7 linked regions of the Macaca mulatta genome follow. The protein of the gene in region 2 purifies or fractionates together with the protein of the main gene of each other region. This does not show direct contact. Links are inferred from orthologs where the notes say so. Each region holds a gene or a part of one and is shown on either strand. Other genes may lie near its edges. The genes, in order: UBTF, RUNX2, HDAC1, SMAD3, EP300, SMAD1 and HDAC4.

The links.
Region 1: the proteins of RUNX2 (region 2) and UBTF purify together in Homo sapiens (co-immunoprecipitation; 3 studies listed by BioGRID and IntAct, with this or other methods). This does not show direct contact. The link is inferred for Macaca mulatta from reciprocal best matches to the Homo sapiens genes RUNX2 and UBTF.
Region 3: the proteins of RUNX2 (region 2) and HDAC1 purify together in Homo sapiens (affinity purification with western blotting, with the first as the bait; 3 studies listed by BioGRID). This does not show direct contact. The link is inferred for Macaca mulatta from reciprocal best matches to the Homo sapiens genes RUNX2 and HDAC1.
Region 4: the proteins of RUNX2 (region 2) and SMAD3 purify together in Homo sapiens (affinity purification with western blotting; 3 studies listed by BioGRID). This does not show direct contact. The link is inferred for Macaca mulatta from reciprocal best matches to the Homo sapiens genes RUNX2 and SMAD3.
Region 5: the proteins of RUNX2 (region 2) and EP300 purify together in Homo sapiens (affinity purification with western blotting; 4 studies listed by BioGRID). This does not show direct contact. The link is inferred for Macaca mulatta from reciprocal best matches to the Homo sapiens genes RUNX2 and EP300.
Region 6: the proteins of RUNX2 (region 2) and SMAD1 purify together in Homo sapiens (affinity purification with western blotting; 3 studies listed by BioGRID). This does not show direct contact. The link is inferred for Macaca mulatta from reciprocal best matches to the Homo sapiens genes RUNX2 and SMAD1.
Region 7: the proteins of RUNX2 (region 2) and HDAC4 purify together in Homo sapiens (affinity purification with western blotting; 3 studies listed by BioGRID). This does not show direct contact. The link is inferred for Macaca mulatta from reciprocal best matches to the Homo sapiens genes RUNX2 and HDAC4.

Annotation. Positions count from the first base shown.
Region 1 is NC_133421.1:68,591,278-68,595,753, forward strand, and holds the start of UBTF (nucleolar transcription factor 1), read right to left. Parts: upstream 2,868-4,476; 5' UTR 2,728-2,867; intron 1,918-2,727; exon of another isoform or gene 1,843-1,917; intron 1,649-1,842; exon of another isoform or gene 1,355-1,648; intron 1,158-1,354; exon of another isoform or gene 943-1,157; intron 282-942; 5' UTR 215-281; coding exon 157-214; exon of another isoform or gene 102-156; intron 1-101. UniProt on the Homo sapiens protein: Recognizes the ribosomal RNA gene promoter and activates transcription mediated by RNA polymerase I (Pol I) through cooperative interactions with the transcription factor SL1/TIF-IB complex.
Region 2 is NC_133409.1:136,726,600-136,731,061, forward strand, and holds the start of RUNX2 (runt-related transcription factor 2), read right to left. Parts: upstream 3,174-4,462; 5' UTR 2,366-3,173; coding exon 1,985-2,365; intron 1-1,984. UniProt on the Homo sapiens protein: Transcription factor involved in osteoblastic differentiation and skeletal morphogenesis. Essential for the maturation of osteoblasts and both intramembranous and endochondral ossification.
Region 3 is NC_133406.1:208,584,385-208,588,840, forward strand, and holds the start of HDAC1 (histone deacetylase 1), read right to left. Parts: upstream 3,025-4,456; 5' UTR 2,959-3,024; coding exon 2,910-2,958; intron 1-2,909. UniProt on the Homo sapiens protein: Histone deacetylase that catalyzes the deacetylation of lysine residues on the N-terminal part of the core histones (H2A, H2B, H3 and H4).
Region 4 is NC_133412.1:44,704,178-44,708,162, forward strand, and holds part of SMAD3 (mothers against decapentaplegic homolog 3), read left to right. Parts: intron 1-2,340; coding exon 2,341-2,553; intron 2,554-3,985. UniProt on the Homo sapiens protein: Receptor-regulated SMAD (R-SMAD) that is an intracellular signal transducer and transcriptional modulator activated by TGF-beta (transforming growth factor) and activin type 1 receptor kinases.
Region 5 is NC_133415.1:10,339,334-10,342,166, forward strand, and holds part of EP300 (histone acetyltransferase p300), read right to left. Parts: intron 2,031-2,833; coding exon 1,749-2,030; intron 1,505-1,748; coding exon 1-1,504. UniProt on the Homo sapiens protein: Functions as a histone acetyltransferase and regulates transcription via chromatin remodeling. Acetylates all four core histones in nucleosomes. Histone acetylation gives an epigenetic tag for transcriptional activation.
Region 6 is NC_133410.1:154,128,222-154,131,353, reverse strand, and holds the end of SMAD1 (mothers against decapentaplegic homolog 1), read right to left. Parts: intron 1,148-3,132; coding exon 1,004-1,147; 3' UTR 618-1,003; downstream 1-617. UniProt on the Homo sapiens protein: Transcriptional modulator that plays a role in various cellular processes, including embryonic development, cell differentiation, and tissue homeostasis.
Region 7 is NC_133417.1:144,645,435-144,650,143, forward strand, and holds the start of HDAC4 (histone deacetylase 4), read right to left. Parts: upstream 2,938-4,709; 5' UTR 2,790-2,937; exon of another isoform or gene 2,475-2,789; intron 1-2,474. UniProt on the Homo sapiens protein: Responsible for the deacetylation of lysine residues on the N-terminal part of the core histones (H2A, H2B, H3 and H4).

The sequences.
Region 1 (4,476 bases), on a different chromosome or scaffold from region 2:
AAGTGTGGGAGATGCTTGATTCATAAGTACTCAAGGCACTTTCTCCCCCAATTCAGTGTATGCAGACTGGAAAAGCCCTTGAAGAAGGCAGTGTGCCCCACAGCCACGAGGCAAAGAGGGTTTAAGTTTCAGAGGGCTGGGAGTGGATGCCCCTACCTTGGCCTTTGGGGGCGGCCATTTCCAGGTCTGTGGGGCAGTCGGCTTCTCCGTTCATCCTCCAGCTGTCCAGCCACCTCCTCGGTCGTGCTGGCCGGGCAACCCGGGGTCAAAGCCACCTCACCCTTTGGAAGACATACAAGTTCCCACTCAGGAAGGCTGAGAGGTGAACGACTTTCTAACCCTCCCCGCCCAGAGTAAAGGTGGGCAGGTCCACGCTCTCAGAGACCCAGCCATAACCTTATCAGACTTAAGGGGTCTCTGGGAGGGAGAGTACGCCCCTCCTCTTCTTCCTGACCCCCCTCCCCCAGCCCCTGCGGCCCGGCTCCGCGGCGCGCGCCCTCCCCTGCCCACGCGAGGGCCTGCTCCCAGCTCCCGCGTGCAGCGAGCGCCCGCCCTCCGCCCCCCTTCCCCAACCCCAGCCAAAAAAAAAAAAAATCTCCTCCTCCTCTGAGCGCCCGCCCCGGGGAGGCCCCAGGCTGGAGGGCGGGGGAAGAGGAAGGGCGGGTAAAGGGCGCGCGCGGCCACGGAAGCGGGCACGCGCCCCAGTCTCCTCCTCCCGCCTCCCCCCAGCCGGTTCCCCCCGCCTCCGCAACCCGGCGGGGACCCGGACGCAGCGCAGCCGCCGCCAGCCCCGGAGCGCAGCGGCCGCACCGCCCCCGGGGACCGGATCCGGATTCTCGCCGCTCCCCCCTCCCGGGCTCCCTTCGCCGTCCCCGCCCGCACAGGCGGGCGAGCAGCCGGAGAGAAGCGGCCTAGCCTGCCCCCCGCCCCCGAGCCACCCACCCCGGCCAGAGGCGCCGCCACCACCCAGCCACCCCGACGCGCACGGAGGAGCCCGGCACAGAGGCGCGACCGCGGCGGGAACCGCCGCCTCCTCCCCCGAGCCTGCGGCCCAGCCCCGCCGGCGCCCCCGCCCCGGCCTCCGGGGAGCCGAGCCAAGGAGAGGGCGGGAGGACGGCGGCCGGGAGGCGGGGGCGCAGCGCTCACCGGCCCCGCCGCCCCCTCCGGCGGCCGGGGAGAACTGCGCCTGCCGGATCCGAGAAGCGCGGGCTCCTCCGCCAGCGGCCGTGGCTCGGCTCAGGCCTCGCTTCCTGCCTTCCCCTCCCCCGGCTCTCGGCGTCCTCCCAAGTGCCCTGGTCTGCTCGCGCCCGGTCCCCTGCTCGGTGGTCGCTCCGGGTCCCTGCTGGGCGCCCACCGCAACCCGCGGTTCGCTCCCTGCTGTCCGGCCCCGAACCCAGCGCGCGTTCTCAGCCGCCTCGGTTACCCGGCGCAGCGCGGCCTCCGGGCTTCCCGCTCCGGCGGCTCCCTCCCCGGCTCTGAGTGGCGGCGCCCTCCCCCGCTCGGCCGGGCACAGCCGCAGCTCCCTCCCGCGGCGGCAGCGGCTCCTCCTCCGGGCGAGGCGGCGGCGCTGGGGCGGCGGCTGCTGCTGCTGTGGCGGCGGCGGCGGCGGCTGTGGCTGCTGCCTGCTGCTCCTCGCGGCGAAAAGCACAAAGCACAGCGCCCTCCGCCTGCAGGCAGCCCGCCCGCCGCCGGCCCCGGCCTCAGCTCGCACACCCCCCGCCGCCGCCGCAGCCTCAGCCGCCGGAGCGGGGAGGAGGAGGGAGAAGGGAGGAGGAGGAGCGGGAGGGGGGGCGGGAGAAGCGGGGCAGCGAGCGCGTCCTTCCCCGTAGAGCGCACACCGACCCCCGGGGAGCGAGCGCCAGCCCGCCCGCCTCGCCGGCTCCGCTCCCTCCCACAGCCTGCCCGGGCGGGCTCCGCGGGGGGCAGCTGGGAGGAGGGGCGGGAGCTGGGGGGACCCGGGCGGCCGAGGCGGAGGGAAGGAAGGAGGGGAGGGGGGTGGTGGTGGTGCTGGTGCTGGTGGCGGCGGCGGCTGCTGCTGCTGCTGCTGCCGCCGCCGCCGCCGCCGGGGAAGGGGGGGGCCGGGGCAGGGAGACACGCAGCCGCCCGGATGGCGGCGGGGCTCGGAGCCGGGGCGGGCGGGCGGGCGGGCGCCGAGAGCGACCTCGCCAGACCCGCGGGGGAACTAGCAGGCTTTGCCGGCGCGGGAGGGAGGGCCGAGGCGCGGCCGCGGAGAGGGTGCCCGGAGGGGCCCCCGGCGGCCAGGAAGGCTTGGGGGGCGCCCACAGCCCTGCTCCGGAGCTCTCCCCCAAGTCCTCCCAGCTCAGACTGGGGCTTCCAGGCCAGCTCTCTCCCGCCTCCCGGAGCGAGCGGTCCGCGCCCACCCTCATCCCCCGGAGCGTGGCCACTGGTTTGGGGCGCACGCACGCCGATCGCGGCGTCCAGCTTCGGCGCCTACCTCGCGATCCTCTCATTGCCGAACGGTACATAGGAAACTTTAAAAAAACCCAAAACCGAAAATCTCTGCATTAAAAAAAAAAATCCCCGTTGCTCTTTACACCCCGGAAACGGCGAGGGAACGACGGGCTCCGGCGGAGGGGCCGCTGTGGGAGCCGGTTCAATCCAGCCCGGCATGGCTCCCCAGGCCTGCCCGGGCGCATGGAGATCGGTGCCGCCGCCACTCGTAGCAACCCCTCTCCCCCGAAATCCGCGGCGCCCGGGCTCACTTACCGAGCGTGTGGATGGGAGCGCAGGCCGGGGGCACCTGGGAGCACGGCGGGCGGAACAGCCGAGCCGCAGCTCCGCTGCAGCCGACGCCGGGGCAGCGAGTCGCCAGACAAAGCCCGAGATGGCGAAGCGGAGCGACGGCTAATGGCGAGCCCCACGCGCCGCGCTCCGCCCGCCCCGCTCCGCCCGCCCGCCCGCCCGCCTCGGCGCAGCGCAGCGCCGCTCCGAGCGCTTGCCCGTCAGAGCCGCCTCGGCGCCGCCGCCTCCCGGGCCACCCCGGCCTCGCCTGGCCCCTCCGCCTCCTCCGGGCGGCTCAGCCTCACCCCTTCCCTCCCACTGCTTTAGGGGTTGCACAAAAAAAAATTTTTTTTTTAAAGTAAAATGGTTTTCTTCCTTTTTTTTCTTTTTTCCTTTTTTGCAGGGCGGGCGTGTTGAGACTTTTGGATCTTTCTGCCCGCAGCTCGCACTCACCTGCGGAGCCGCCGGGAGGGCTAGGGGTGGGGGCGCGCGGGGCTGGAGCCGGCGAGCGCGGGTTGAAAGCCAGCCAAGCTCTGCAGCGCCCGACCCGGGCGTGTACGCCGCCGCCAGTCCCCGCAGAGAAATCGTCCTCCTACCCCCGCCTCCATCGCTCTGCGTTTCTCTTCCAATCAGCCGGTCGCTTGGTGGCTCCTCCATTCTCCGGCCAAGCCCAGCTGCCTAGAGCGAGCTCCACTCCTCCATCTGTTCGCCGGGGTCCTCGCTCCCCTGCCGGGGCTGGGAGGCGGCGTGAGGCCGGAGGGGGATTTGCAAGGAAACCTGCCTGCTTCCCGCTCCCATTGCTCCATCCCCGCTGCCTCCTGCCTCCTGCTTCTCTCCTGCGTCTTTCCAACTCTCCCCTGTCGCCACTGGTGTGTGTCTGAGTGTGTGCGCGGTTTTTTTTTTTTTTTTTATTGCTCTTTGCTTTTGCAACCCTGAAGCAAAAGGGAGGGGGGGTAGTTACAGGGGAAAAAAAAAAAAAGCGAGAAAGAAGCTCTTAGATTTGCAACACATCGGAAAACCGAGGGAGCACCCCGCCTTATCCGATCTCCATGCTCCGCGAGGGCCTTCCGGGTTTTAAAAGGACGAGCTTATCAATGTCCCCCTCTTCGCTGGGTTTAGGATCCGAGGAGTCCGAGCAAAAAGTTCTCCCCCTGGGTCGTAGTGAGGGGTGTCAGGGTGGGAGTTGCGGGGATTTTTCAAGAAGAAGCGGCTATCCTTCCTACCCCGGCGTCGGTCACTGGGCGGGGGTAGGGGAAAGAGCAAAATCCCAGTGGGTTTGCGCGAGGGATCTTCTGGGGTCGAGGCGGGGCGGGGGGGAGTCGGAACCGGGAGACACCACTTGGCGCATCTCCCCCTCGGTCTATACCTCCTGTCTTTTGCCAGCTCCCCCTTTAATTTTTTTTCTCTCCTTTAATCTAATTTCTTCCAACTCCACCTTTGTTGTTACCGGCGTCACGCCCGGACCAGCCAATCCTCGCCACGCAATCAGCTTGTCAAAAAGCCTCGGCCGGCCCTGGGAAAGCAGGCCGCAGGCGCTGCCCCCCGGCGGCGGCGGGCAGCCGCGAGGGGAGCCCAGCACCCGGTTCTCGCTGCTCCGGGCGGCAGCGGAGCAGCCTGCGACGAGACGTCTCCCGGTTCACTAAACTGCAGGCCGGGGATGAAAGGCCTGGACGGGGTCCACCACCCACCCTCCCACTATCATGGCTGTGGTTGTCTGTCTTTGCCTCCCCTTTT
Region 2 (4,462 bases):
ACATATTGTATGGAAATTTAAATTTATACAATTCACATGTATTCTGAGCTTTTCCTACTTCAAGGAAGCAAACATTAACCTACAAAATGGGTGGTTTATAAAAGGAGAAATGTGACGGTTAAAAAAAAAAATTTCTTGAGCCAACTGCAAAATGAAACTTGCCCCAGAAAGCAACATCCCCTTTCCATAACAATTCATTCTGATTTCTGTTCTGATATAAGACCTAGCGAGATTACCAGCTCTAATTGACCTGGACTCCTCTTTCTTTCCATCCCACCCACACACGGAATCTGAATTGGTGCGTGGGGTGAGAATTATCAACAACTGGGAACTGTCAGTGGCCCGTGGGAGTTTGGCCACCGGGTCCCCAGTGGAGAAACTGGCATGATTCCTCCCCCAACTTTTTTTTTAACCTCCCCCGAGGCCTTGCTTGCCCTGCTCTCCACAGACCTCAGAACCCAGGGGACCCAGGCCCACCTACTCAAGTTCAGAGGTAGAAAGGGCCCAAAGCACCTTTGTGAGAGTGCTCATCTCCACATCTGGCTTACCACCCCCTGCATCCCTGGCGTCTTGCGAGTGTGGACAGCCCGGGAACCCATTTCCCCATCAACCCAGTATGCGCTGGGCCCTGGGGACTCCGCGTCTCCCCCACTGGAGAGGACTGCCCCGGGAAATCCGGATCGAGTTACGGAGACCCATCGGGCTACTGTGAGAGGCTCCAGATCCTAAACCCTCAACCTGTGGAGCACCTGCCTGCGACTCCCGCGGCTGCCACCCGCCCTCAAACTAACGGGCCGGGCAGGCACAAGAGTCCGCGGGGCGCGCAGAGGCCGCTCTCAAGCCTTCGAACTCACTCTGTGCTCAGACCACCGGCAGGAGCCTCTCACCACCTTTCAGAAGCAGGAGGGACCTTTTTTAGATTTAAGTCCTTTAAAAATAATACTAAAGCAAAAATACAAAATTTCACCTCCGTTTTCAAATTGGGCGAACTCAAGTTGTTTCACAGGTTTCCCTCATCCCTCCATGGCGGGGCGAGGCGCATAGCTCGGTCTCGGCTGGAAGAAGCGGCCTGAGCTCCCGCCCCCTCCCCTGGCCAGCACCTCCCAGCACTCGAGGGTTCAGCGCCCAGGCCCCCTGAACGCCCCCGCTTCGGGGCTCGCGGACGCCCAGGCGGCCCCGCCTTCCTCCCGGTAACGGGATCTGGCGCGGGTCAGCGAACAGAGCAAACGCCCCCGTCCTGACACCCCCTCCTCTGGAGACCCTAGTCTTGTCCGGGACCCTCCCAGGCACGGGTAGCGCAGCCCGCGCGCCTCAGTCAGCACCCCACGCCCAGCCCTGGGCACTAATGCCCGGCGCCGGCACCCAGTGAATCCCGACCCGGGAGCCCGGGAGGGACCAGGACCGCTGAACTCTGCGGGTCAGGGAAGGGGACGCCGAGACCTAAGGAGGGGCTTTTGGCTGGGAGGGAAGCGGGTGGGAGCGCGCGGAGCCCCAAAGAGAGGCGACGCGGGCAGCCTGCAATGAGGCCAGGCCGGGATGACCAAGGAGGAGGAAGCGGGAGCCCCGGGGGACAGTGTCGGGGATCCTCGCCCTCGGGAAAGGGGCGGGGTGGAGCAAGTCCGCTCGCAGTGCAAGAGTGGGCACCTTGGGGATCCTGGGGGAAAGGGAGACGGAGCGAAGGAGTGGGTGAGAACCGAGGCCGGGCAGGAGGCAAGAGGAGTGATGAACGGGTCAGGGGGACGAGGGCTGAAGTCGGGGTGGCAGCGGGCACAGGTGGGAGAAGGAGGGATTTGCGCGGAGGGACTGAGCCTGGAGCCCGCCAGGGCATCCGGAGGGAGAGGCCCAGCCGGGGGTTTCTGGGGTTAGAGCCGCCAAGGCAGGAGGTCTTGGAGAACGTCCGGGGCCCAGCCCCGTGGGCAGGAAGACACCGGCGGGCAGGTTCCGCGGCTCCGGGCCGGGGGCGGGGGGCGGTGTAGACTCTTACCTTGAAGGCCACGGGCAGGGTCTTGTTGCAGCGCCAGTGCGAGGGCAGTACCGAGCACAGGAAGTTGGGGCTGTCGGTGCGGACGAGTTCGGCCGGGTGGTCGGCGATGATCTCCACCATGGTGCGGTTGTCGTGTGGCGGCCGCAACCGGGGCACTGCAGCTGCCGCCGCCGCCGCCGCCGCCGCCGCCGCCGCCGCCGCCGCCTCCTGCTGCTGCTGCTGTTGCTGCTGCTGCTGCTGCTGCTGTTGCTGCTGCTGCTGCTGTTGCTGCTGCTGTTGCGCAGCCACCACCGGGCTCACGTCGCTCATTTTGCCGGGCTGCAGGCTGCTGGAGGGGGGGCTGAAGCGCCGGCTGGTGCTCGGATCTACGGGAATACGCATCACAACAGCCACAAGTTAGCGAAGTGGCCGGGGGAGGGGGAGGAGGGTGGAAATGAGGGGCAAGGAGGAAATTGGGGGGGTGAAGGCGAGACGGGGGGAAAGAGGATGGAGGTGATGGGGCTGAGGAGGTGAGAAATCAAGTTTGATGAGGCCGACTGCCGGGCGGAGTCTGATGGGCCAAGAGAGTCTGGCGATGCGGCGCAGACGGGCTGGCCGGTAGGGAGATCCGGGAGGCGCAGATCTTTGCCGGAGCCTTTGGAACACCCGGGGTGGCAGCTGCGAACGGGCGCGGGAGTGTGTTTGGCCCGGGGAGGCGGGGGACTTGAGTTTGCAGCTTGGAGTGGGGTCCCTTGGGGCACCGCGTCCTGGGTGCGCTGGCGCCCCCTCCCAGTTCGAGTCCGGTGGTGAAGCGGTGTGGGTTCAGCAGTCCAGCCCCGGGGCCGGCATTGCCGCGCTCTGTCCGCCACCGCCGTGCCGCGCCGCGCCGCGCGCTGCTACCCAGCTGCAGGCGGCCGCGCCTCCGCCCTCCCGCGCCGCCGCCTCCGCGGCGGCCGCCGCTCCCCCCGCGCCGGCTGCACGCTCAGATTCCTCCCGCGGCGGCTGCCAGCCCGGCTCCCCGGCTAGGCTCCTTCCTTTCCCTTCTTTTCTTCTCGCCCTCTCTCCGCCACCTCCTTGCATCTACTCCCTCCTACAATTTGCAAAGCTCCCCTGTCTCTCGCGCTTCAAGGTGCCAAGAGGTAAGTCGTGGGCAGCGGATCTCGGGGCAACGGATCTCGAGCCTGCGAATCGCAGCCGCTGCCGCCGCCAGCCGGCCGCGAGAAGGAGCCCCCCGCGCGCCTTGTGCAGCTTCCGAAGCCGAAAGGCGGCCCTAGTCTAGGGGCAGTCTCGTCTGGTCGCGTCCTCTTGTTCTCCCCACCCCTAGGACAAGGAACCCCCTCTTTGTCGGAAGAGATTGAAGCCGAGACACCAGAGAGCCCCCGGCTGATCTGACTGTCGCTATTTTTCGTTGTAACTTCAGGAGAGGAGGAAGGAAAATTCTTGAGCGTCTGTGCTGACTTCTCAGCACTCTTCACCCTCCCACCTCCACCCCCCACCTCTGTCTGAGCGACTCCCAGGGGAAAAAGATTTTGCAGGGTTTGGGTGTTTTTTGTTTTAATGACACAAAAAAATGAGGGGGGTGGGGGGAGAACTAGTCAAAGTAGTTTTTAGGAACTCAAGTGCATAGCTGGACATTTCTTTTTTCTTATATATTCAATCTTGTCATTCCTAGAGAACAAGAATGAGGTTTTTTTTGTTGTTGTTGGTTTGTTTTTGTTTTAAGGACTGAAAAACTGTCAGCTTGGTGATTAAAATAGTTGCAAAACCCTTGCTGGGGAAAAGCACCAGCCTTTTTCCATGAATTTAAATCTTTTATTAAGTCTATCCTACATCTAAGACTAAGTTTCGTGTCTGTCTTCCCCAACGCTCACGGGAAAAAATTAAAAATACGAACTAAAAAATTCAAAATGCTTCCGTGGCTGTTTATTTATGTATTTATTTCCTAGTGTGGGTTTAAAAAGCGACTTTGGATCCCCCAAAAAGTTGCGGTCGAGAGGATGAAGGAGCGCGGAAAAAAAGCGGCACTTTTTACCTAAAATGTGGTTTTTGGAGGCTGGGATTTCTAATGATTAGGTTTTTGTGGTTTATATAGACACGACTTTGGCTAAGGCGATCATTACGCTGATGAGAGTCAGAGCACGTGGGTGTCTACGACCAGCCTCAAACTCTGAGCCTTCAAAACAAATAAAACAATGTGCTGCGCCCGCAGAAGCCGGGAAATCCGCTTGAGGCTATTACACCCCAAGAAGGGGGCACAGGGCCGTTTTACCCTCGGCGTTGTGTACTACTACGTTTCTTGCTTATTACCAAACTCTTTAAAGCCTTCCAAAGCTTGAAAACGTGTTTGCGAAAAAAATCTTCAGTTGCCAAAGTTTCAAAGATTCCTAGTGGAGTAGCTGACACAGTAACAAGTGAGTTTATGAAATAAATGAAGAATTAGAATGCCTCCTCCTCGAAGTATTAAGGAAGAAAGATGGTTGGGTCATCTCTCCCTCCCAT
Region 3 (4,456 bases), on a different chromosome or scaffold from region 2:
AAAAAAAAAGTTATCAACTGACATGGCATTCTCCAAACCTCCAAACACTCACCATCAAATTGCCCACACCAGAGGCCAGGAAGTGTGGCTCACGCCTGTAATCCTAGCACTTTAGGAGGCTGAGGCAGACAGATCACTGGAGGTCAGTTTGAGACGAGCCTGGCCAACATGGTGAAACCCCATCTCTAATAAAAATACAAAAATTAGCCAAGCATGGTGGCGTACGCCTGTAATCCTGGCTACTCAGGAGGCTGAGGCAGGAGAATCCCTTGAATCTAGGAGATGGACGTTGCAGTTGCAGTGAGCCAAGATCATGCCACTGCACTCCAGCCTGGGTGACAGAGCTAGACACTGTCTCTCTCTCTCTATATATATATGTATTGCCCACACCAGGAACTTGGGATCCATGCCTTCTTCCTTACCCCTAAAATCTGAATTTCTTTTTTTGTTCGTTTTTGTTTTTTTGAGACCAAGTCTCTATCTTTTGCTCAGGATGGAGTGCAGTGGTGAGAACTCAGCTCACTGCAACCTCCGCCTCCCAGTTTCAAACAATTCTTATGCCTCAGCCTCCTGAGTAGCTGGGACTACAGGCATGTGCCACCACACCTGGCTAATTTTTTTATTTTTTTGAGATCGAGTCTCACCCTGTTGCCCAGGCTAGAGTGCGGTGGCGCAATCTTGGCTCACTGCAACCTCTGCCTCCCAGGTTCAAGTGATTCTCCTGCCTCAGCCTCCTGAGTAGCTGGGATTACAGGTGCGTGCCACTACGCCCAGGTAATTTTTGTATTTTTAGTAGAGACGGGGTTTCACCACGTTGGCCAGGCTGGTCTTGAACTCCTGGCCTCGAGTGATCTCCTGCCTCGGCCTCCCAAAGTACTGGGATTACAGGCGTGAGCCACTGCACCTGGACCCCATGACTTTAATTTCTTTCTCTTTTTTTTTTTTTTGAGACGGAGTCTCCCTCTGTCGCCCAGGATAGAGTGCAGTGGCATGATCTCCGCTCACTGCAAGCTCCACCTCCCGCATCCACACCATTCTCCTGCCTCAGCCTCCCAAGTAGCTGGGATTATAGGCGCCCGCCACCACGCTCGGCTAATTTTTTTGTATTTTTAGTAGAGACGGGGTTTCACAAGTTAGCCAGGATGGTCTCGATCTCCTGACTTCGTGATCTGCCCTCCTCAGCCTCCCAAAGTGCTGGGAGTACAGGTGTGAGCCACCGTGCCCAGCCCATGACTTTAATTTCTAAGGTATAAACCTGATGATGTCACTAACCTGCATAAAACTTGAATCATTCACAAGTGCCCTCAATAAAGTCCAACTTCCTTGGGACAGCATGCCCAGCCCTTCATGGTCTGGTCCCTGTTTACATTTTTTTTTTTTTAAGACATAGCCTCACTCCGTTGTCCAAGCTGGAGTGCAGTGGTATGATCTTGGCTCACTGCAACCTCCACCTCCCGGGTTCTAAGGGATTCTCCTGCCTCAGGCTCCAGAGTAGCTGGGATTACAGGTGCGCGACACCATGCCCGGCTAATTTTGTATTTTTAGTAGAGACGGGGTTTCGCCATGTTGGCCAGGCTGGTCTCGAACTCCTGACCTCAGATGATCCACCAGCCTTGGCCTCCCAAAGTGCTGGGATTACAGGTGTGAGCCACCTCACCTGGTCGGTCTCCATTTACTTCAGCAACCACATTATTTGCAACACTTCCCTCGCCCCGGGTCCCCACCTTCTACAATAGGCCCCCAAATCTATGTCTCAGCCATACTGTTACAAATGCCTGCTTTTCTTTCTTCCCTTTTTTTTTTTTTTGAGACAGAGTCTTGCTCTGTCACCCAGGCTGGAATCCAGTGGCCTGATCTCATCTCACTGCAACCTCCACCTCCCAAGTTCAAGGGATTCTCCTGCCTCAGCCTCCCAAGTAGCTGGAATTACAGGCGCGCGCCACCACGCCCAGCTACTTTTTATATTTTTGTAGAGACAGGGTTTTGCCATGTTGGCCAGGCTGGTCTCGAACTCCTGACCTCAAGTGATCCGCCTGCCCTGGCCTCCCAAAGCGCTCGGATTACAGGCGTGAGCCACCGCGCCCGGTCAAATGCCTGTTTTTCAAAGGTGCTGTCCTCTCTCTTGCCTCTGAAACTTGCTGTTATCTTTGCCTTCCCTTTGCCTGGCTAAGAACTCCTGTTCTTCAGGTCCTGAGACGTCCCCTCCTTCGCTGACTCCTCAGGTGGAGTTCGGTGCCTATTCTCTGTGCTCCTCTAACACTCTGAGCTCTGACACGGAGAGAACTTCGGTCACTGGGACCCGATCATTCCCACCGCCCCAGCCCCTCAACACTTCCTCGAACACAGTAACCTGCTTGAGAGATTAAGTGAGAAGCCTGTTTTAACAGGTTGCATCCTTCTCCTTGCAACCCCTGGCGCCCCACGTCGCAGTAGCAACCGCAGGCCCCGCTCAGAGGCTGGGGGAGGGGAGGCGGGCGACCAGTCGTGCAGGGCTCTTCTCCCAGAAAAGATGAGGAAGAGACGGGGCAGGGAAGAGCTTTGGGTTCTCGGCAAGAAAATGTATCCTTGCAGCCGTCTCCATCAGATTCAGCCTCCCTCCTCGGACGCACCCTCCCCTCTAGGAGTCCCACTCAAACTCTCCACATCAAACTCTCCACATCAGACTTCCTCAGAATCTTCCCACCAAGATTACCTCAGGGTTCCCCCACGCGATCCCCTCGATCTCAGCCTCGATCTCCTTTCCTCACAGCCTCCTCCCTCAGCCTCGACTTCCCCCTCGCAGCCTCCTCTCCGAGCCTCTCCCCAGCGCCTCAGCCTCCCGCAGCCTCCCATCGGCGCTCCAGCCTCAGCCTCCAGGTCCCCGGTTCGGCCCGGCCCGGCCCCGCCCCCGCCGCGAGGACAGTGCTCACCGTCGTAGTAGTAACAGACTTTCCTCCGGGTGCCCTGCGTCTGCGCCATCTTGCTCGCCTCCCGTCCCTACCGTCAGTCGGTCCGTCCGCCCTCCCGCCCGCGGCTCAGCTCAGCGTCCGACCCAGGGGGGAGGGGGCGGGTCTCCGGCCCGCCCCGCCCGTCCCCTCCTGAGCTCACCTATAGCCGCGCAGCCCGGGCACCGCTCCAGCCAATCAGCTTGCGCAGACACGGGCCCGGAACTCGGCAGGGGGCAAGGGCAGCCCGGAGAGGCCGCCGAGGGCCCCCTGGGCCTGTACCAAGGTCTGCGACAGATGGGTGGGGAGCCGCCCGGGGACCGTACCATCAGTCCCGGGGGAGGAAAGCAGCTCCGTAAACTTAACAGTCCCACTTGGTCGTGAAAAGCGTGCTTGGAGATCGGAGGCCAACTTTCTGATTTTACGGAGAATAAACCGAGGCCTACAGGGGAAAAGTGACTTGCACAAGGTCACTCAGCCAATAAAAGGGCTGAACCTGGGTTAGAAAGCGAGTTTGTGATCGCAAAGGAGGGCTACAGAAAAATAATTAAATTAAAAAGAAAAGCAACACGCTGGTTTTGAGAGGAAGAAACTGACAAGAAAGGGAAAGAAAGCTGTTTGTCGAGGGGCTGCTGTGTGCCAAGTACTGTGCGACAGTTTACCAATGTTATTTCAGTTTTTCCTCAAAACACCTCTCGGCCAAGGGCTTTTTACCTCCATTTTACAGGACAGGATAAAGAAGTTCAGATTTCTGTGAATTACTCAAAGTTACACAAAGTAATTAAATTCAATTTTTCAACTGTACAGGGTTTTTTGAATGCCTTCTTTGCACCAGAGGCACTGTAACAAAGTGACAGAACCCAGCCTTTCTGACTCCAAAACCTACCTCCCTGAAGCAGTCACCCAGGATGACTTAAGTAGGAGTCTCTTTAGACAGGAAGAAATGGGATTATCCTATGATAGGAGAGCAGATTTTCCTTTCCTTTCCTTTCCTTTCCTTTCCTTTTTCCTTTCCTTTTTCCTTCCCTTCTCTTCCCCTCCCTTCCCCTCCCCTCCTCTCCCCTCCCCTCCCTTCCCTTCCCTTCCCTGAGGACAGTTCCGCTTTAGTTGCCCTGGCTGGAGTACAATGGTGTGATCTGTGCTGTGTGATCTCGGCTCACCGCAATCTCTGCGTCTGGGTTCAAGCGGTTCTCCTGCCTCAGCCTCCCGAGTAGCTGGCCTTACAGGCATGCGCCACCACGCCCGGCTAACTTTGTATTTTTAGTAGAGACGAGGTTTCTCCATGTTGGTCAAGGTGGTCTCCGACTCCTGAGCTCAGGATCCGCCCGCCTCGGCCTCCCAATGTTACAGGCATGAGCCATGGTGCCTGGCCTAGAAGAGCAGGTTTCTCAGCTTGGAAGCTAATGACATTTTGGGCCAGGTAATTCTTTTTTGTAGGAAGCTGTTCTGTGCCTGGGCAACTAGAGCGAAACTCTTGTCTCCAAAAAAAAAAAAAAAAAAAAAAAAAAAAAATTAAGCAGCATCCTTAGCCT
Region 4 (3,985 bases), on a different chromosome or scaffold from region 2:
CCTGGCCCTGTCCTTCCTCCCTTCCCCATTAAGTACTTTTGATGCCTTCATCCTTATCTTCCTTTGCTCCACCCCAGGAAGAGAGGAAAAGGTTAAGAATGCTTTGCCTCCATCTTGATGGTGATCAAGATAGGACCAGGCTGTTTTCAAGTTCATAGAATCCAGTTTTTATCATTGTGTTAACACCATGTGCTGAGTGCTTGATGCGCACCCTGCACTTCACATGAGTTATCTCTGTCTGTCTAGAAACAGCGCCGAGAGTAAAGAGGATGAGGCCCAGAGAGTGTAGCTGGTTTGCTCGCAGTTGCACGTCTAGTCTGTGCCTGAGCCAAGACTGATCTCCAGTCTGTCTGGAGGATGGCTTTATAGCTTGTGTCCCATGATCCAGTTAAATATCTAGCGCCGTTTTGCCCTCTAGAATACATCTGGCAATATCCACAGCCTTCTTTTATTGCCACAATTTGAGAGGGTGGTATGGATGTATACTGCTAGCACCTAGTGGGCAGGGGTCAGAATGCTGGTAAACATCCTACAATCTACACACGCTCCCTCCCACCCACCTACCCAACAAAGAATTATCTGGCCCCAAATGTCAGTAGTGCTGAAGTTGAAAAACCTGACCTAGGGTGTCCTAACCCTCCAGCTGACTTCCTGGGCGTGTGTGGAGTGCAGGGGTGTTACTGGCCTGCCCCTTCTCTGTTCGTGGTAGCATTCTCCTTGCTTTTAGAAGGGATCATGTGCCTAGACCCCATAAGGGGATCAGGGACTCTTTGTCCTGCAGGCAACCAGACCCCTTCCTGTGGGCAGAACAGCTTCTGACTTTTCTCTCTTGGGCTTTACACACTTTCAGAAGGTCTAATGAGCGGGGGTGCCCCCGGTGGTTTCCCCCTCCTAGACGTTGCCTGGTATCCATTGAGCAGGGTTCTCAGGCCAGGGCGACGGCACGGGGAGCCTCTCCTGTTCCCCCCTCAACAGAGCCCTGCGCTGAGGGTTAAAGTGAGGGAAGAGAGATGTCAGCCTGGGCCCTGGGACCTCATGGTCGAGTTGGACAGTCAGGATGCTCACATAGAGGCACACCCTTAGTCACTGCGTGGCTCCAGGTATATTTAAGAGCCAGAGGGACTTCAGAGCCAGGCTGAAGCTTTGAGATGGAAGAGTGAGAATGAGCAGGGGACTCCCTGATTCTTCAGCAGATGGATGGGATTCAGGTAGGCATCAAGCAGAGCGTGGCAGGCCAAGGGCTCGTGCCCAGCAGTCAGTGCAGCACAGAGAAGCAGCTGCAAGTGGTTGGCCCAGGGCGCAGGGCAGTCCTGGTCCAGAGGCTGTGGCATCGGTGTGAGTGGGAATTCCGAGGGCCCGGCCAAGGGCTGAGAGTATGGACCTGGAGATGCTGCAGAGGCGTGCAGTAGGAGGGCACAGCGCCAGGGCCGCTGGGCTGGGGCAAGAGGAGGGCAAGGAGGCCCCAGGAAATGGAAGGCTGGGATCCATTTCCAGTGTAAGGAGAAGCTGCCATTTACTCTTCTGAGAAAGAGAACCAGCCCCTCGCAGGATGGCAGTTTTGCTTTGAGGAGCCCCATATGGAGACTACACAGACAACTGGGACAAATCCAGATTTTCTTTCAGATGGGTTTGTGTCCCAGCCACCCCAGCAGCCGGCATGTAGATAAGTGTGGAAAATGGTTTCTGTGATAAGAGGCAAGGCTCCAGGCTCAGTCTGCGGACGATCCTGGTGTGTCCACTGCGCTGACACGGGGCCCTATTGGGAGCCCACTCGGCTGCTGCAGGCTTGGAAGCTGCTGCTCCACAGGCTGGGAGTTTGCCCCCAGGGCTGTGCAGAGCCAAAACCTGAAAGCCCTTTTAGGGGCAGGGATTAATGGTGGTTACTGTAGGAACCTTGCAAGAGAGGCTGAGAGGTGACTGTGCGGGAGGTGTGGACTGCCCCACAGTGGACACACTGCAGTGGCTGTCCCAGGTTCATCCAGGTACTGGGTGGCCCCTGGTCCTCTTCAGGTTTGGCCCAGCCCCTGCTTGAAGACTCCTTCCATCCAGTCAAGGCCAAGCAGGCGGGGCAGGGCCTCTATGAGCTTAAAAAAAAAAAAAAGAAATCAATGGCCCTTTACACACACAGTGTGGCAAGGCTGACGGAATCTCCTCCGGACACCTGAGCATCTTGTTCTGGTGGGTGCTGCCAGTTTTATACGATAAAAGGCACCAGGTGGGGAGACTATTAATCCCTCTGAAATGTGGGGAAATGGTTCTCCAGAGCGTCCATGGGACCCCATCGAGGCAGCATGGGGCTTGGGGCACCCACTGACCCAGTAGCCCGCCCTGTGTCCACAGACCTGCAGCCAGTTACCTACTGCGAGCCGGCCTTCTGGTGCTCCATCTCCTACTACGAGCTGAACCAGCGTGTCGGGGAGACGTTCCACGCCTCGCAGCCATCCATGACTGTGGACGGCTTCACCGACCCCTCCAATTCGGAGCGCTTCTGCCTCGGGCTGCTCTCCAACGTCAACAGGAATGCAGCAGTGGAGCTGACGCGGAGACACATCGGTATGGGGTGGCTCCATTCCCCGCCCCCACCCTGCCCCTGCCACTCTATCGCGCCCCCAGCCCCAGGCCCGAACACACAGCCTCTGCAGGGAACCTTGCCTCCATCCTTAGCTGTGCTCTGCCTCCTGCTGGGCATGGGGGAAGACTCACCGCCCCAGCAAGGCCCCCACATTCCCTGTTGCCCTGTTTAGGGGCCAGACAGGTAGTGTTCAGGCCACTTAATCATTCCCACTCAAAGATATAATCTCAGAAAACCTGGAAGCCACAGAGGAAAATACTTAAGGGATCGAGAAGGGAATGTCTATGAGAAAGGCAACATATGAAATCTTTTTTTTTTTTTTGAGACAGAGTTTCACTCTATCCAGGCTGGAGTGCAATGGCACAATCTCAGCTCACTGCAACCTCTGCCTCCCGGGTTCAAGCGATTCTCCTGCCTCAGCCTCTCAAGTAGCTGGGATTGCAGGCACCCAACCACCACGCCCGGCTAATTTTTATATTTTTAGTAGAGATGGGGTTTCTCCATGTTGGTCAGGCTGGTCTCCAACTCTTGACCTCAGGTGATCCACCCGCCTCGGCCTCCCAAAGTGCTGGGATTAGAGGCGTGAGCCACCAAGCCCGGCTGAAATCCTGTTAATAAAAAGAGTTTGAAAGTGCAGATGGATAGGTTGATAAGTAGGCAGTCGTCGTTGGAAGAGTGATCTTTTCTTATTTTTATGTATCATTATTCTAGACAATTTAGAAAAGGTAGAAAAGAATTGTCCACTATCCAAACACCACTACTGTGAACCTTCTGCCTTCGAGCCCGCAGAACATAAGTAAAAGATGACTCTGTGAGTTTAAGGAAGATGAAGCTGTGTTACGTATCGCTTGGTTTGCTTATGAAGTTATCATGCTTAGAGGATTTTACCATCCAGAACACAACTGTGAGAACTTAGAAGGGCTGTGGAGAGATGGCAGAGTGACGTTTTCTCAGACCTCGTCCTGGAGCCCCAAGGGTTGGCGAAGGGTTCCTGGGGCAAATTCAGGAGCTGGGCAGGTTAGCAAAGGGAAGCCTGGCCCCACGTGAACCAGGGCACCTCTGCATTCGCTTGCTTTATATCTCGGGCTCTCACAGAAGCCTTCGTTTGAAGAGAGGATTGATTCTGTAGTGAAGAGAAGAAAAGTTTGGAGGCCACAGGCCTAGGTCTGTGCTGTCATTTTCTAGGAGAGGGGCCTGATGTCTAGGGGTGGGGAAGGGTAGGGAATGGCTCTCAGAGACCTCATTGTCAGTGACAGACAGCCCCCACTACCAGACCCGTTCTCCCCATTTTGCTTTTTGTCTTTTACTTCAAAAAAGATACTTATTCTGGGTGGCATACCACTGTTGGATTGATTGATTGATTTACAGATAGGGTCTTGCTATGTTGCCCAGGCCCAGTCTCAAACTCCTGGG
Region 5 (2,833 bases), on a different chromosome or scaffold from region 2:
TCATCTGTTGTCGTCTCAAGATGTCTCGGAATTGTGAAGGCATGGTGTTGTGGTTCATGTTCATCTGCTGAGACTGGGGGCTCATCCCTCCCATGGGCGGCTGGAGTTGCTGCTGGGGTTGCTGCTGGGGCAGGCCAGCCCTCTGGACGCCCGCCTGCATTGGATTCATGTTCTGCATGGCTGGATTGGAGTGGACCCCCTGCTGACCTGGCATGGTAGGTGGCTGCAGCCCTGGCTGCCCCTGGGGCATGCCAGGCTGCCCAGGGATGGGTTGTGGATTAGAGTTGGCATACTTGGCAGCCCGCTGCTTGATGAATGCAGCCAACAGCTGGGGGTTGGCGTGAAGGATACTAAGCACCTGTTGCTGCTGTAGGGGAGAGCTGGGAGACCTGAGAGTCCGCAAAAGGTTTTGTAAGGCTTGTTGAGACACAGTGCCTGGTTTGAGTGGGCTCACACCTACCTGGCCCAATCCTGGTTGTGGAGCCATGTTCAAGGGTTGACCATGCTGGGCCACTGACATCATGGCTGGCCTTGGCATCCCAGACTGTAGTTGCTGGGGCTGAGGCAATCCTCCTTGGCCCCAGGGTGGCTGTTGCTGCATCCCCGTCGGTCCCATCCCTGGCTCCAAATGCCCACTGGGACCTCTGGTCATGGGAGGTGGGTTCATACCCATGGGGGCCATGGGAGTCATCGGGGGCATCTGATGTTGGATTGGCCTTTGAAAAATTTGCACGTGGGCCATCTGGCGCTGCGTCTCTGCTGCTCTCTGAATCTGCATTGCCATTTCCACTGCTGCAGGTGGGGGCCCTGGAAGGGGTGGCTGAGCAGTCTGAGGAGGGGTTGGAGGGGTCACCTGGCCTGCTGCCTTACCCTGGGACACAGGGCCAGCAGCTTGAGTCCTGGGCAAGTAGGGTGGCATACTATTGGGAGGGGTAGGCTGAGGCTGAGAGGTGGGCTGGGGCGTCTGTGGGGTGGTTGGCTGTTGGCCAGTTGGTGTCGTTGGAGTGGCAGGAGTGGGGGAAGGGAGGCCCTGTTGCTGCCCGACCACACCAGTCCGCTGCATGCTGGCCATCCTTCTGCGAAGCATTTGGGCCTGTTGTAGTCGGTGCTGCAGCTGCTGCTGCCGGAGCTTCTGCTTGATGTTTAGGCAGAACGGCACTGGGCATTTGTTCTCCTGGCAGTGCTTGGCATGGTAGCAGCAGAGGGCGATGAGCTGCTTGCAGATGGGGCACCCGCCATTGGTTTTCCGTTTGCAACCCTTGGTATGCTGCACAACCCGCTTCATCTTCTGGCAGGATGGCAGGGAGCAATTGGCATTCCGACACTGGCAAGCATGGACCAGAGACTGGATGCAGCGCTGGATACTCAGGCGGCGAGAATCGCCTGGGCTCTGGGTGGCTGCAGCCTGCTGGTTGTTGCTCTCATCATCTAAGCCAAGACCTAGTTTCTCCATTTTGTGGTCATGGTTTTTAGTGTTATAGCAGGTGATACACAAGTCATAATCCTAGAGAAAAAACAGGAAGTGCAGGTAAACTCTCCAAGATTTAAGTCATTCAAAAGTATTTTGGATACTCTCTGGGCTGGAAAAGCCCCTTTTGTAGAACAAAAACCAGCCTCTTCAGCTCTGCCTCGCAAACACAAGGCCAGGCCCCTGCCATCCCACAGGCCTATATACAACACGAGGCTGCATGGCCCCTCAGAACAACGCTGCAGAGCTCACCTCCTTGTTCCCACAACCCAGTGCCTACCTCACAGACAGTACAGTGCCAGCGTGTCTCCACATGGTGCTTGCATTCATTGCAGGTGTAGACAAAGCGGTCCTGGCTCTGCGTGTGCAGCTCCACCAGCATGCACATGGTGGACCACTGGGCTCTTCGGAGTGAAGAGAACTCCAGGTGCTTGTCTCTTGCCAGCGTGAGAAACGCATCCCGACCATCCATCAGATCACAGGGGATGAGAGGGTCAGGATCAACAATGGGAGGCAGGGAGTTGGCAGTAGGGCCAGCAATGAGGCGGATCACAAAGAAGACCTGCAAAACACACAATCTCTTTTTTTGAGACAGGGCCTCGGTCTGTCACCCAGACTGGAGTGCAGTGGTGTGCTCTTGGCTCACTACAACCTCTGCCTCCTGGGCTCAAGCAATTATCCCACCTTGGCTTCCTGAATAGCTGAGACCACAGGCCCACACCACCACGCCTGGCTAATTTCTGCATTTTTTGTAGAGACGAGGTTTTACCATGTTACCCAGGCTAGTCTCAAACTCCTGAGCTCAAGTGATCTGCCTGTTTCAGCCTCCCAGAGTGCTGGGATTACAGGTGTGAGCAGGTAAAGCAGGCTAAGCACCAATGAGACTGGCGAATGCTTAGTTTTTTTTTTTTTTTTTTTTTTTTGAGACAGTGTCTCTGTCACCCAGGGTGGAGTGCAGTGGCCAGATCTCGGCTCACTGCAAGCTCCGCCTCCCGGGTTTACGCCATTCTTCTGCCTCAGCCTCCCAAGTAGCTGGGACTACAGGCACCTGCCACCTCGCCCGGCTAGTTTTTTTTTTTTGTATTTTTTTAGTAGAGACGGGGTTTCACTGTGTTAGCCAGGATGGTCTCGATCTCCTGACCTCGTGATCCGCCCGTCTCGGCCTCCCAAAGTGCTGGGATTACAGGCTTGAGCCACCGCGCCCGGCCATGCTGAGTTAGTTTTACCATACTCCTCCTGCTCTCTTTTCCTGCTTTACCTTTTTGGTATCTTGAGACTGACTATAAATAGAACTGAAATGCACATCCTGTGATTTTTTCTCCCTTATTCAATAACTCCTTCAGAGTAAGAATGGTCTAGGTCAGG
Region 6 (3,132 bases), on a different chromosome or scaffold from region 2:
ATTAAAGCCTATTTCTGTACTGTAAACTCCGTAAAAACTGCTTATTAAATTCAAGCACTCCATATAACTGGTATTGAAACATGTAAGCAATTTCAGAATAGCAGGAATTATTCATTTGTTCTCACAGTTACATGAATTAACCAGCTGCAGAACTGCCTTTTGAAGAGCATGAGATAAAAGAATGCCAAAAGAGAGAGAAAAAAATGATAAAAATCTCTAAAAAATGGAAACACAGCAAAATTCAGATATCAGTTTGTTTCTTTAAAGCAACAAACTGAATTTTTACAGTATAGTCTACATTTGCAGTTGTCATTTCCCTCTTCCCCCCACCCACCTCAAATACTCCTAAATTCACTAGTCTAATCAATTCTTAACTTCCAAATACTCTGTACATACATATTTAGGAAAGAGCATATGCCTAGCATTATTCTGACAGCAAGTATGGTCAGTATACAATTTTAGAAAGATTATTATGTATATCATCAAGACTAACCTTTACTGAAAACAAACAAACAAAACCATCGCTAAACAAATAGTTTTAAAATATTATGAAAACCCATGAAAAGAAGACTCAACATGGGCTCTAAACCTGATAAAACACGTTTCAGAACAACTATTAATGCTAAACTTCTGCCCAACGATGACCTTAAAGTGCCAAACACCAAAGAATCTCTTAGGACCATTTTCTAATAGACAATTTGTCCCTGGCTTGGCCATTTCTCCTTTAACTATACACAAAGTCCTGCTAAAAGTCTGCATTTTAGTTTGATTTTACAATAGAATGTTACGATGTAAACTAAACAGGTTCTTGATATCAACAGTATGTTACCAAGGTGGGTTTTTTTGTTTTGTTTTGTTGTTTAAATTTCTGAATCCAACAGTTGGTCACAGAGGTCAAGTATTATCAAGGCTCCTTTGTCAGTTCTCAATCGTGTCTGACTCATCCATCCTTCAAGTACATGCAAGGCTCAATAGTTTTCAAGAGGCAGATGCCTGGGGCCATTTAAGACACAGATGAAATAGGATTATGAGGTGAACCCATTTGAGTAAGAACTTTATCCAGCCACTGGAGGGGGCCGTGCAGATGTATCTCAATCCAGCAGGGGGTGCTAGTAACATCCTGGCGGTGGTATTCTGCTCCCCAGCCCTAGGAAAAACATACTGGAGGTCATTTAACTTGTTTTAACTCAGTGGTTAAACTTATTAAGTAAGAAGGGTTCACATAACCAAGACTCTGATTAAAGCTATGCATCTTTCCTCCCTGCCCCCCGCCGCCGGGGAGAAAAAAACACACATATACAAACACACATATAATTTGGCAGGCAATTTCAAAGGATGGATGTTAGCTCCCCAGGGTCCATCCAAGGATTCCAATAAGAATTACCAGTCTTGAGGAATGAAGATTTTAAAATACATTATAAAGTTGTCTTAATAAAGGCACTGTAAAACTTTTATTTTAATTGCCCATTTCTGATAGTAATGTAATAGCTATTATTAAATTCTCATTTTATCAAGAAAATAAAACAAAAAAGCTATGCTAGACAGACTGACATTCAATTTCTTCCTTATTCGGCCACTGAATCAGCCTCCTATCAACACACAGCTCTTGATCTTTCAATCTCTAAGCAAAACGGGCAGGAGTACATTTAAGTATCCAAAAAGCTATTATTGACACCTAGCCATTGCCATGAATCAATACATTCTATCATTCATTTGTACAAGAAGGTAGCTTGTCAGAACTACTGCATTAAGACAGTAGAGTTCCACAGAATAAAGTCACTATGAAAAAGAGAAAAGTAACTGCTACTGCAAAGATCAAAAACTCACTGGTGGGGATGGACAATGATTAATCCTTTAGTCACTGTTTCATGAGGAGTATCAGAGAAGGTTGGGTTCTATTTATTTCTGCTACCTATCTACTCCAGTAGTTTTAAGAAATAGATCTGGGGCCAGGTGCGGTGGCTCACACCTGTAATCCCAGCACTTTGGGAGTCCAAGACGGGCAGATCACCTGAGGTCGGGAGCTCCAGACCAGCCTGGCCAACATGGTGAAACCCCATCTCTACTAAAAATATAAAAAGTAGCCAGGTGTGGTGGTGTATCCCTGTAATCCCCGCTACTTGGGAAGCTTAGGCATGAGAATCACTTGAATCCAGGAGGCGGAGGTTACCACGAGTCAAGATCACACCACTGCACTCCGGCCTGGGTGACAGAGCAAGACTCTGTCTCAGGCAGGTGGATCACTAGAGGTCAGGAGTTTGAGACCAGCCTGGCCAACATGGCGAAACTCTGACTCTACTAAAAATACAGAAATTAGCCGGGTGCTGTGGCACACGCCTGTAATCCCAGTTACTCGGGAGCCTGAGGCAGGAGAATTGCTTGAACCTGGGAGGCGGAGGTTGTAGTGAGCCGAGATCACACCATTGCACTCCAGACTGGGCGACAGAGCAAGACTCTGTCTTAAAAAAAAAAAAAAAAAAGAAAGAAAGAAAAGGAAATGTATCCGAACATCAAAACTTGTATAAACTACATCTATATAGATATATGTATCTACATAGATGTACGTACACTCATGCGTTTGTAAATATAAACAAACTCCTAAATTTAATTTACAGGCTTATGTGCAGGTTTCCTCCATCAGATATCAACATCTTTGAAGGCAGGAATTTATCTTTACCTCCGATATATAGCATAACGACAGAAGGCAGAAGCTCTATAAATATGTGTTCAGCTGAGCTGACTTGGACTTTTCAGACATAGAGTTTAAAGTACAAATAATTTATAAAATATGTTTTATGTTAACATCCAAAAATCATTTTGAAAACAGCTCAAGATTGGCTACTGTTAGTAAAATGTTCTGTTACAATTTCTTTAAAATGTTGAGTGGGAGAGGATAAAGTGTGCAGTCCATATAATAAAGAACAGTTCTGTAAAAACAGTGTGCACATTTTTTGTTGCTAATATATGATAAACAGTTTCTCTTTAACATTCAGCAGGATTTTTAAATATTATTTACCTTCGGCTCTCTAAATCCAACTTCCAGGCTAAGTTCATTATATCTTGTATAATTCTCCATTCTAGTGCTTATCAGATTATAATTAAAGATATACTAGAGCATAAGGATCTTGATAA
Region 7 (4,709 bases), on a different chromosome or scaffold from region 2:
ATGTGCTGACCATCTGAGATCAAAACAAACACTCCCTCCAAATCCATCCTTTCCAACTCCTTATCCCAGGACACACTGGGGGCTGCAAACAACGGGGCAGGGGCTCAGTCCCGGTTCCACAGCCACAAGTTGAGGTGGAGACTGGGCCCCTTCGCCCTTCATGTCCGCCATCCCCAGCTACAGTCAACAATTCTGAGCCTCGGAGGGAAAGCCCGGCCACAGCCTGTCGCCCCGCTGCCTCTCAGCAGCGGCAGTTCTCTCGGCCTCTGCGGCTCCTTCGCGCCCTACATCAGGTATTAATATATTACTCATGGCAGCTTCTGAGCTATGAAAGCCCAGCCGTTTTCAATAGAGAACGGTATGGACGAATTCTACAGGAGTGATGAAATGCTTCTTCTGCTCCGGCAATTAAGACAGCATAAAGTCGCCTTTCCTTTGGTGCCACCCCCAACATCAAAGGATTGGAATTCAAAGCCATTCATGCTGCATTGAAACCTCACAATGAAGCTGGAGAATGGAAGTCGATTACTGGGCATAAATATGCAGTAGTTAAAAGGAAAGAGTTATAACGAAATTAAATGCAGCAACCCCACAATGTGTGGAAACTTCCAGCACTAGAGCCCTCCTGGTAAACATCCATAGAGCATCCTTCCCAACCAGGTCTCTGGCCACAGAGAGTCCAGATGGGCTGCCTGAGCCGCACGTGGCCAGTGTGCCAGGTTGTTCTGCCCATCTTGCTACAGCAACAGCCCCCAAGGCCTCCGAGAACATGGCATTTGCGGATTTTTATTTTGCATGGCTAGGAAGCTGCTGAACACAGAATATTGTCCCTGGTTCAGGACTCCGAGGCCACATCTGCCCTTCGTCCCCAGGCCTTCCAGGCCTATGTGCAGTCCAGTCATCTTCCCTCTGCCCCGCCCCTTAGCCCAGGGCTCCCCGGGGGGCATGCCTGCTGCCAGCTCCCCTTGCAGAAGAAAGAACCCTAAAGAGGGCAGCGTTGCCTCTGCCTGCTGAGTACAGCCGGCTTCTTTTCTAATTGATTACTGCTCTCTTTAGGATGGGATTTGATCTCTAAAATAAAAGCCCAGAACACAGAAAGCTATAGAAGTCTTACAATGTGTTGGGGTGTGTGTTTTTAAGGCATGAAAATACTTCCCTCCCACACAAATGTGAGTTCTTCTGGGGAAAGATGCCACAGATCCCAGAGAGTAGAATATCTGGGAAGGCTCGATCAGTCTTAAAAATAGGTAATTGAACACAGATTTTAGAATTCACAGGAGCTACCTGAAAAAAAATTAAATTTCACATATTTTTGATATCCAAAACTCCATTCTGATGAAACTTCTAACTGGGTGGCATTCTGCATTTCCAATTATAATAGAGTAATTGTGTTGCCATAGTTACTGCAAAATTCTGCAATAACTTTTGTTGCTTTGTAACTGCTGTAGTGTATATTTGTGTACAAGCAGCTGAGTTTTCTTAATTCGATCTCCCTCCCTTCCACCCTCCCTTTCCCCAGTCACCACCACCACCTTTCCTGGCTGGGTCCTGAAACCACCACACCAGCCTTCTTTGGACAGTCCCGAAAATAATGCACAGAATTATCAGAAGCAATTAAAACTCCAGGCAACCACGATCATATTACAAAAGAAAAAGTGAAACCAGGTCAAGGTGCAAACCTGCCAGTATCCCCCCAGTCCTGCTGGGCTGGCGCTGGGCCAGGGCTGTTTACAGGTTTACTCCCAGGCCTTAACTGCTTCAGTGATTTGTGGGAATAAACAGAAAAGCCTGAATAGAGAAAAACGGGGCGGCAAAGTGACTACACAGGCCCTTTCCTCCCTCACGGAGAGCAAGCAGAACTGCTCTCAGCAAGCAATTAGGTAGGTCTCTACAGTCATGCAATTAGGATTTAGTTAAGAAAGTCATTAGTTTTAAAATAACTTAAGTTTAATTTCTGCAACGCTTTATTTGAAAATTGTGTCACAGCAGGTCAATTTACAACATGCAATAAAGAAAACACTCATATCAGCTGCCTCAAGTTATTACAAATTTTTGATGTGCATTAAATGAGTACACTGGGTTCCACCCCCGGCCTTTCCAACTGATACGCACGGTCTCCTGCTATAACAGTGTCAAATAATTCAACGCTCAATGTAAATACGAGATAATTTGCTTATGATTCCGTGGTGTGTTTTCGCAACGCGGGGAAACGCGGATCCCACCCCCGAGCTGGACCGGGCCCCGTCTCGGCCTGCGGGCGCCCTGCGGGCTGAGCCGAGGGGGTCCCGGGCAGCACCCCCGCCTCCCGCGACCCCCCAGGCGCTCGCAGCGGCGACGACACGCGAGGGGCCGCGGACCCCGGCAGGGACGTTTTTCTGCAAACTCACAGCATTTGACAAAGTTACATAAACGGCGCCCGCCCGGCCCCGGCGCCCGCCCGCCCCCGCCCTCACTCCCGGCGGCCCGGAGCCCACCTGTTCGGGGGGCGCGGGCCCGGCACCGGGCGACGGCGCCGCTGCCTGCCGTGCCCACCCCCGCGCCCCCGCCCCGGCGGGCGAGGCCGCCTCGCGGCGCGGCTGGAAAGGTCCAGAAGGGGCCGGGCGGCCCTGGGGACCGGCGGGTCCCACGGCGCGCGGCCCGCGCTGGCCCCCGCCTCCCACGGCCGCGCGCGGGGCGGGTGTGGACCGGCGGCGTCCACCTGCCGCGGGCTCCGAGGCCTGCAGGCTGCGCGGGGCGCGGGGCGGACGGCGGACAATGGCCCGCGGGCGCCGGGCCGGGGCTGCGCTTACCGCGGCGGGCGGCGGCGGCCGGCTCTAGCCCTGCTCGGGCGCTCCGCGCCGCATCTCCTCAGCCTGCGCCGCCACCCGCCGGCGCGCGGGCTCGGGCTCGGGCGGCGACAGCCGGGACGCGGCCGCGGCGCCGCCGGGGGCCCAGGCTGGGAGGCTGCTCGGGCGGCGGCGGCGGCGGCGGCGCGGGCGGGCGCGCGGGTTCGGGCTCGGGCTCGGGCGGCGGCGGGGACGGTGCTCCGCGGCGGCGGCCCCACAACCTCCCCTCCTCATTCACAAAAAATTGACCCACGTTGAACCATGATGCTTCTCCCCCCTCCAGCGTCGAGCCGGGCGGCGATAGGCCACCCTGCACGCCCGTCAGCCGACCCGGCCCCGCCCCGCCCGCCGGCGGCTCGGCAACCACTGGCTGCGGCAGCCTTGCGTCACCTCCCCATATGGGCCCCGCCCTCCCGCCTGGTTTCTAATGAAGAGCTCGTCAATTACGGCTCGGCCCCGCCTCCCGCCCGCCCGCCCCGGGCGCCTGGCCGGCCTTCCATTGGTCCGTTGAAACCTGCGCACGGCCCGTCTGCTCCCACCCCTCGCCCCGCGGCTGCCCAACCGCGGGGCCGGACGCCCCGTGAGCGGCGGAGAGGCTCCACCCCTGCCCGCCTCCCCGCACGCATCCTGGACCTCATTGGCTCCTGGAGCTGTCAATTCTAGGGGGCGGGGCGTACCAAAAGACGCTCCAGGCGCCAGCCGCTGGGTGCTTCGCGGTTGAGGAGGCGCAGAGACCCGGAGCCAGTAGTGACCGTAAACACGGGCCCCGGCCGTGTCTAGTCCCACTCGGTAGCCCGCATGGCTACCTAGCGGTCAGCACCGCGTGTCTGCGAGCCTAATTCGCGCTTAGAGGGCACACAATGGGGTGCAGGCTGAGGCGGGGAGCTGGCCAGGCCTCGCCGTTGCCTCCATCTTGGGTACGGGCAGTGGGTCACGTGGTGCTGCGTGCGCACGGAGGCGCAGGGCGGCCCGGTCACCGAGTGCGCAGGCGCCGCGGGCCTCGCCCAGCCCCGCGGCGGGAACGCGGCTGTCTGGGTGTGCATGGGGTGCAGGTCTGCCAGGCCTGCAACTGCTGCTGAGGGTCGTGGGATGCGCTCGTCGGGTCCCTGCTCAGGCGGAGGGAGCCCGGCCCGCCGCCAGGGTCTCGAGTCACGGGCCAGGCAGGCGTGGAGGTGGCGGGAACTCCGCACCGGCCGGGCGGGTGTTGTTTTAAGGCCGCAGAGCTTGGGGGGCTTGTGTTGAATTAAAGGTCGGTCCGTAGATCCCCGCAAGCGCCTTTGGTTGCCAGCTGGTGTGGGCGGGAGTCTTCAGTGGCCACCCTCCTGCTGGTGATGTTTCCATTTCTTTCCAACAAGAGTGTGACAACTTTTAAACTTGGGTGCACACACTGTCCCCGGAATCCCGCGTTCCAGGGAGGAAGCGCCTTTGACAGCGCGCGCCGGTGCGTGGGGCCTGACGGCGTGGGCCCAGGGATGCGGACCTGGCGGGGATGAGCGTTCGCTTCGATTGTGGGCCATTCCTCTTAGATGAGCAAAGATCCGTTTTTACAGCATTCTCGACCTTTGATTCTTGGCGGGGGGGGAAACTGTAGTTGTGTGGATAAAAATACAGTTAGCAAAATAAAAATGCCAATTTTGCATTTCTTTAAATATCTCAATAACGAATAATTAGAAAACTCTGGTCATTGTGAGAAGTGCTTACTCTGATATGGCTGAACTTTGAAGGAAAGGAATGGTGAATTAGAGGATTTTAAAACAGGATACAGCTGAAGAAAAGGAGAGCAATTATGGGGTTTTGGCGACTTGGCTGCTGATGGAAACGGTGCACTATCAAATTTTCATAAAGAATGAAACAGGGTCTGTAGCTAGCTAACATCTAGATGAG